Mus musculus: one gene and its partner. The protein of the gene in region 2 interacts with the protein of the main gene of each other region in a biochemical or structural test. Links are inferred from orthologs where the notes say so. Each region holds a gene or a part of one and is shown on either strand. Other genes may lie near its edges.

Region 1 (3,825 bases), on a different chromosome or scaffold from region 2:
GCAGAGCTACTTCAGTCTCCCCTCCAAGCTTGCTCTCACTTGGGGTAAATCACTGGCCATATGCTTGCTAGAGCATCTTATTGACTATATTCACTGGCCTAGGTCCCTCTGGTTCTGTGGGTTATGAATCCTCGGCCCAGATGGACGCTCAGAGCAGGTGTTACTTCCATCTGACTCAAGATGGGAACGTGATAGTCCTCTGTCGACAGACTCAGAACCCTGGTGACACGAGGTGACGAGGCTAGCTCATAATGCACAACCCCAAAGTGAATGAACAGACTCCCTCTGCCAGTGATGGCTTCAGAAATAAGAGAGTAGCCACCTGGCAAACTGGTGGTTATGCACCACGCATGCTCCGCTAAGCCCCGCCCCGGACTCAGTTGTTTGGTGGCACACCAGCAGCTTCCCAATCTCCAGGAGGCGTGGAGTAGAGACTCACCTTCCTCAGAAGGGCAGACGTGGCCCACCTACGCCCTCTCCATCCTCAGCTGCTCGCTTCTCTCTTTCAGGACTCACACACGAGAACTACCCATTATGGCTCCCTGCCCCAGAAGTCGCAGCACGGCCGGACCCAAGATGAAAACCCAGTAGTCCATTTCTTCAAGAACATTGTAAGTGACTGTGCACAGGGGAACCAAGAAATCATCAAGGGAAAGGTTGTGGATCCAAAAGAGGTCTTAGCTCACACCTAACCTCCATGGATCCTTCTCAGGGTGCCGCTGGCCTGAGAGACACCAACCTCAGGAGGACCTGGGTCATCCCAGGTCCTAAAGGACACGCGTGGGTGCATCTGCCATGCTTTTAAAAACCTGTATATTGTAATAAGAATTTAGTATTCCTGAAATCAGGCAGCTAGTAGGTGCTTAATTAAAAATATAGACTTTATGACCTTGAGAAATGAAAATGGTGGGAGTCAGCGTTGCCCAGGAGGGCTGGGGAATAAACAGAGAAATGTAGGGTGCTTTAGGCCAACAGAACTGCTCTGCGTGGCATTGTAACATAAGACATGTGATATTTGTTAATACACATAGGATGCATGCCACATAGAGTGAACCTTGATGTATCCAGATGATGATGGTGATGGTGATGATGATGGTGATGATGGTGATTATGGTTATGATGGTGGTGCTGATGATGGTGATGATGATGATGGTGATGATGATGATGATGATGGACAATGATGATAATACCCCAATGTTTGTTTATCACTTAGTACAAGCAAATCATGTTAATGCTGGTGCTGAACAGCAGAAGCTGAGCAGATGTGTGGGACTGCCCTATGGGTACAGGGGAAATGTGTGACTTCGTGACAATTTCTGTGTACATCTAAACTCTTCCACAAAATAAATGACTTAGTTACTTCTCTATTGTGGTGGCAAGATACCATGACCAAGGCAACGAATGGAAGAAAGAGGTTATTTGGGGCTCATAGCTCAAAGGGTGAATCAGTGGCCATCATGGTGGGGAGCATGGTGCTGGGGCAGTCACTGAGAAATCCCATCTTCAGACACAACCATGAGGCAGAGATAGGAGGAGGGGGAGATAGGGATAGATACACAGATAGGTGATCGATAGAGATAGATAGATACAGAGTTAGAGAGGTAGAGAGGTGATAGATAGATGATAGATAGATAGATAGATAGATAGATAGATAGATGATAGATGATTGATAGATAGGAAGATATGATAGATGATAGATATGATAGATAGATGATAAATAGGAAGATATGATAGATGATAGATAAATAGATATAATAGGTAGGTAGGTAGATAGATAGATAGATAGATAGATAGATAGATAGATAGAGATAGATAGATAGGAAGATATGATAGATGATAGATAAATAGATATAATAGGTAGGTAAATAGATAGATGATAGATAGATAGATAGATAGATAGATGATTGATAGATGATATGATATGATAGATGATAGATATGATAGATATGATAGATAGATGATAGATAGGAAGATATGATAGATAGATGATAGATAGATATAATAGGTAGATAGATAGATAGATAGATAGATAGATAGATAGATAGATAGATGATAGATTGATAGGAAGATATGATAGATAGATGATAGATAAATAGATATAATAGATAGATTGATTGATTGATAGATTGATAGATGTGATAGATGATAGATTGATAGATATGATAGATAGATGATAGATGGATAAATGGATGGATAGATAGATGCAAGATAGATAGATAGATGGATAGATAGAGATATGATAGATGATAGATGGATGGATAGAGCAATGAGTGGGAATGGCCCACCCAAGTGACACACCTCTTCCAACAAGGCCACACCTCCTAATGGTTCCACCAAGTAGGCACTAAACATTCACATATACGAGCCTGTGGGGGCCACTCTCATTCAAACAAACATAATGGCCTGGGCTCTCTCACACCAATCAATAATTAAGAAAATACACTATAAATGATTCTGTCTTGTGTCAGGTTGACATAAAACTAGCCAGCACACCACTCTTGCAAAGGACCAGGGTTCCATTCCCACCAGTCATGCTGGTGGCTCAACTGCCTACAGCTCCAGCCCCACTGCGGCTGCTGGCCTCCATGGATGTCTGTGCACTCATGCCCACACACAGACACGAGATTTTTTTTTTTAAATGGGGCATCATATTGAAACTGAGCATCAGTAGATGTGCCATTTCCAGCCCCAGGAAGGGCATGATATAGACGCATGTGCTAGCTTCTGATGCCTGGTAGATTGGAACCATGTCTGTGGACATGAACTATGTCCAATGTCATGTGGGACCCTCTGGGAGGACGTGGGGCTTCCTACAAGAAAGTGAGTCACTGCAGCCCACCCCTCTCTGTCTTCCAGGTGACACCTCGAACACCACCTCCATCCCAAGGGAAGGTAAGGCCTTGGATGTTTTGGTTCATCGAGAGTTCATTCATATGATTATCCTGAAATCCCAAAATGTGTTCCAAATGGAACTGGGCTCAAGGCTCCCTGAATCTGCCCAAGTCTTGCTCCCAGAGGCTCCCACTGGGACAGAGATGCAGCAGGTCCCCAGTTCTGCGTCCACGGCCGGTGCTTCCAGGCAGTGTCCCCCTGAGCTGGGATTCACGTCCTGGCCTTGAAGCTTTGAGCAGGCCTAGCAATCCCTGAATGTGGTGCATTTGAGGGAGCCTGTTTCTCTTGGGGGGAGGAATGCCACCTGGTTGTTCCTGTTGGTTTCAGGACTTTGTCCCGGGCGATCACCACGTCAATGTTTCTGTCGTCACTGTTTCTTTCTCTTCCTCACAGGGGAGAGGCCTGTCCCTCAGCAGATTTAGCTGGGTAGGTGATGACTGCGTCTCCTCTGCTTCCTCATCCCCTGCAGCCCGCGCAGCCCACTGACTTCTAAGTTCTTTCAGTTGCTTAACACTCGCTTTTTCTGTCCTGCCCGGCCCAGCTCGCCCACCATGCTTGGCAGGCTGTTTTCTATTCCAGGCAGACAGGAAGCCTTTCAGTGTGGGTTGCTGCCAGGCTGCATCCCGGGCACTGCAGAGCCCTGTACCTCCTCCCCACAAGTGTTCTGAGCTCCTTCCCAAGAAAGGGCCATATTACAAGGCTCAGTAGACCAAACTACACTGCTGCCCACCCCTTAAGACAGTACTGCTGATGCAGAATAATGATGCTAAACTCTTGTTCCATTTCCAATAACCCTTCTACTTGTTAATCCAGAAGATCTGGGGTTTTGTTTGTGTGTTAGTGGCATCTAACACAGATCCACTAAACCTCCAAGAAAGATTCCGTAAGGGTTTTAGGTTTTTAGACACAAGATCAAAGTTCTGATGATGGTTT
Region 2 (3,825 bases):
AGAGAACTCAAGGCTCTGACTATGTAATAATGAGGCCCAGCTCTAGACTGGCCATGGGATGGGGGTAGAGGGGTATCATCTTTCCTGATTGCTTGTTGCCTCTGTGGCCTGGACCCTCCCGATTCCTCCCAGTACCCACAGACACAAACAGTCCGGTAAACAGAGTAACTGGTTCTTCGTGGGGATGGAATGTAGTCATCAGTGCTGGCTGTAAGCCATCTGGAAGGATCAGGGTGGGGTTGCAGGGGATGGGGGAGGTGTCCACTGTCCCAGAGTTGGGCAAGTTCCAGATCTACTCAACTGGCTAATCTTTATACTTTTCTTCAAAGTATAAAGTTGAAGTTTTTCTCCTAATATCAGGAATGGACTCAAGTCCGAGCCGATGCCTGTGCCTGCTACTCTGTCCTGTAACTGTTGACATCAGGTTCTTGGCAGCTTTGGAAAACCAACCACAACACCACAGAAAATGGCCAGACACCATGTACCAGGCACCCAAGTACACACGGGCCCATTCTGGCAAAACTGGCCCACCTCGCAGAAGGGGCACCGGTGACCCTCGAGGCTTACCAGGTCCCAGTCTATGCTGCGGAAGAAAGCATGAGACTTGATGTCGGAAAACCCAGTCTGTGGCCGGCAGCCAAGCCTCTCTTTGGGATCCTGGGGGTCAGAATTCAAATGAGGGTGAGTCAGGACTCCTAAGGAAACCCCTGATTCAACCTCAACCCAACGGGATGGCCCAACTGCCCCCACGGGAGTTCCCTGTCCCCAGCTGTTCTGATGTCCAGCTGGGTCTGACCTTCCCTCTGTTGGGACTGCTTTTCCGGTCAGTTACTTACTCACTGTTTTGCTATATCAATAAAAAATTAAACTCAAAGATCACGGAGCCCCAGTGCCAGAGTGGATGAGCAGCAGCAGCACAGAGCAGCTGGGGGCAGCTGGCAGCTGATGACAGACAGCTCCAGTAGTGGAGAGACTCTGTCCACCCACTCCATCCCATGGGTAACTTGATCCCAGAGGGTTACAAGGGATCGTCTGTCACCGCAGCCAAGAGCATACCTTATTTAAAAATCCTTTTAAGACGTGTGAGGCCTTGACAGACAGGAAACGGGGAATCCGGATTGGCTTTTCCAGGATAACTGAGGACAGAGACCGGGTGAGAAGCGGCACTGTTTGCTCTTTCCGATAGCCTACGGGTGGGCCCCCTGAACTCTGCTCCTTTTGTGTTTTTTTGTTTTTTGTTTGCTTGTTTTTTTGCAAGGACGGAATCTTGGTAGGTATCCAGCCTGGCTTTGAATTCTTGACCTTCCTTCCAGCCTCTTGAGTAGCTGGGATTACAAGGCCATGTGACCCACACCTGGCTTGAACCCCATTTCTAAGTCAGAGCTCAGACTTGTAGCCCTGGGACACCTTCCTGTTCCAGAAGCCTGCTGGGTCCTTCTAGGGACCTCCTGGTAGCACTCACATATCACATAGCCTTGTGTGAACCAACAGCTCCCTACTACCTTTTGGTTGCAGGCATGTGGAGTCTGAACACCGATCACCAGGGGGCGCCGAGGGACAGCCCTGAGGGGCGTATCAGTGGCCATTAATGCTCTCTCATCAGGAGCAAGGGAGCCTGCACAGGCTACAGGGAATGATCTGGGTGGGCAGAAGGGGGCTCTGGCTAAATCAGGGTTTCTAGGTGACCCATAGTGAGGTGGACTATGATCACCTCGTTTTACAATCTCTGCCAGAGGAATGGGTTCGTGTGTGTGTGTGTGTGTGTGTGTGTGTGTGTGTGTGTGTGTACTGTTGCTGATGCACAGCACCAGCCTGGACAATGCTCCATCCTCACCTTTGAGAAGGGAAGAAAAAATAACATGCAGAGGGAGGTGGGAGGGAGTGCATACACCATGGGCCACCAACCTTGGAAAAGGTAGTCTTCAGTGTTCATGTCAGGGTTGTCCGTGATGATGTCAAAGGGGGAGCGCCCAGCCATCATCTCAAACATAAGGACACCCAGTGCCCACCAGTCCACGCTGAACCCTGTGGAAAAGCGGGCAGTCACTAGGCAGGGGGTGGCTGGGAAGTGGCACACTCTGTCCGTGAGTGTGAATGTGCCAAGAGAGTCGCTGTGCTGGACATCTGTGTCCTCAGAAGCTGTGACTCCTCACCTGCAGTGTGGGATACCCAGGCTGTGTCCCTGGCCCCTCAGCTCTGCTGGGACATCTCTGTTACTCGAGCATGCAGAATGGGACCAGGGACGGACCCTGCTTTGTTCCTGTCGTCGTCATCGTCATCATCAGTGATAGTGACCGATGATGATGATACAGGCTCTCGATATGTAGTCCAGGCTGGCCTTGAACTTGTGACTCCCCTGCCTCAGCCTCCTAGGGCATGGCACCATAACTAGTTGTATTTTTTTCCTGATTTGATTTACAGTTACAAAGCCCGCTTCTCACTGAGGAATGTGGCCCAGTGGTAGAGAACACTTTGTTCACACGTACAAAGCACACGCGCCATCCCCAGAGCTGCCAAAATACACAGAACTCACAGAATCCATCTCCGAGACGAGAAAACACAGCTACAATTTCCTGTATATTTACATTCACTATTCTTTCTTTCTTATATTTTATGTATGTGAGTACACTGTCACCATCTTCAGACACACCAGAAGAGGACATCGGATCCCATGACAGATGGTTGTAAGCCACTATGTGGTTGGTGGGAATTGAACTCAGGACCTCTGGAAGAGAAGTCAGTGCTCTTAACTGCTGAGCCATCTCTCCAGCCCGTTTTGTTTTGTTTTGTTTTGTTTTAAGACAGGGCTTCTTCGTGTAGACCTGGTTGTCCTGGAACTAACTCTATAGACCAGGCTGGCTTTGATCTTAGAGATCTGCCTGACTCTGCCTCCTGATGCTGGGATTGAAAGTGTGGGCCACCATTGCCCGGCTGGCTGACTGACTTTCTCTCTCTCTCTCTGTCTCTCTCTCTCTTTCTATGTTCAAGTGCTAAGTATTTTAAGACAGCAGGAGGGATGATCAGTCTTCATACTCTGCCTGGCCACCCCTACCATCTCTGCTCAGAACAGTCCCCCTGCTCTGGCACACACAGAAATAGGGTCACTTAGAATGCTAGACTGATTTCTGGCTCCAGTCTGCCACCCCTGGTTACTGAGCCACTTCAACTGAAGCAGCTTGTAGGAACTCAGTCATTCTTCTGAATTGGTGACTCGCACGCGCTGCCCGCCACACACTCATTTATGTGAAGGTGTATTTATGACTGGTTTCACTGAAGTCACCGTCACTAGTCAGGGATAGACAGCTCATGCCTGTAATCCCACCTGTCTGAACAGCAGGAGAAGCTAGGATGCAAAAGTGGGTGCGTTCACGAGCACACATAGATAACATGTGTGATGAGCCTCTGTGCACAGTAAACACATTTTTTTTACAAACAGTAAAAAAATAAATGTGCACACACACACTGCATGCTACATATCCTCCTCTATCACACACATGCACACACATGTATCACACACATGTACACACATGTATCACACACATGTACACACATGTACCTGTATATGTATGCCCTGCCCCCAGGTGCATAGGACTGTTTCTACCCCGAGGAGTGGAAGTACACCTTCGTGTCTACAGGGTCCCCAGATCACCCCCTGCTCTGGAGCCCAATGGGGGCACTTCTGCCATTCCCAAGGGCACTTTGTTTCTTCCACATATGCATGGCCAGTGGCCAGTGGCCAGCCAACTTGAGGTTCTGTGACCCAAACCTGGGCTTTCTTGTCGTTGCTTCATGTTCCTTTTTCTCCTCCCTGGCCTTAGGACTCCT

The links.
Region 1: of the proteins of Prkcz (region 2) and Mbp, one has a biochemical effect on the other in vitro, tested with the Homo sapiens proteins (2 studies listed by BioGRID). The link is inferred for Mus musculus from reciprocal best matches to the Homo sapiens genes PRKCZ and MBP.

What each region holds. Positions count from the first base shown.
Region 1 is NC_000084.6:82,572,316-82,576,140, forward strand, and holds part of Mbp (Golli-Mbp), read left to right. Parts: exon of another isoform or gene 1-509; coding exon 510-611; intron 612-2,856; coding exon 2,857-2,892; intron 2,893-3,219; coding exon of another isoform or gene 3,220-3,318; intron 3,319-3,825. UniProt on the Homo sapiens protein: The classic group of MBP isoforms (isoform 4-isoform 14) are with PLP the most abundant protein components of the myelin membrane in the CNS. They have a role in both its formation and stabilization.
Region 2 is NC_000070.6:155,267,128-155,270,952, forward strand, and holds part of Prkcz (protein kinase C zeta type), read right to left. Parts: intron 2,026-3,825; coding exon 1,906-2,025; intron 1,137-1,905; coding exon 1,057-1,136; intron 658-1,056; coding exon 568-657; intron 1-567. UniProt on the Homo sapiens protein: Calcium- and diacylglycerol-independent serine/threonine-protein kinase that functions in phosphatidylinositol 3-kinase (PI3K) pathway and mitogen-activated protein (MAP) kinase cascade, and is involved in NF-kappa-B activation, mitogenic signaling, cell proliferation, cell polarity, inflammatory response and maintenance of long-term potentiation (LTP).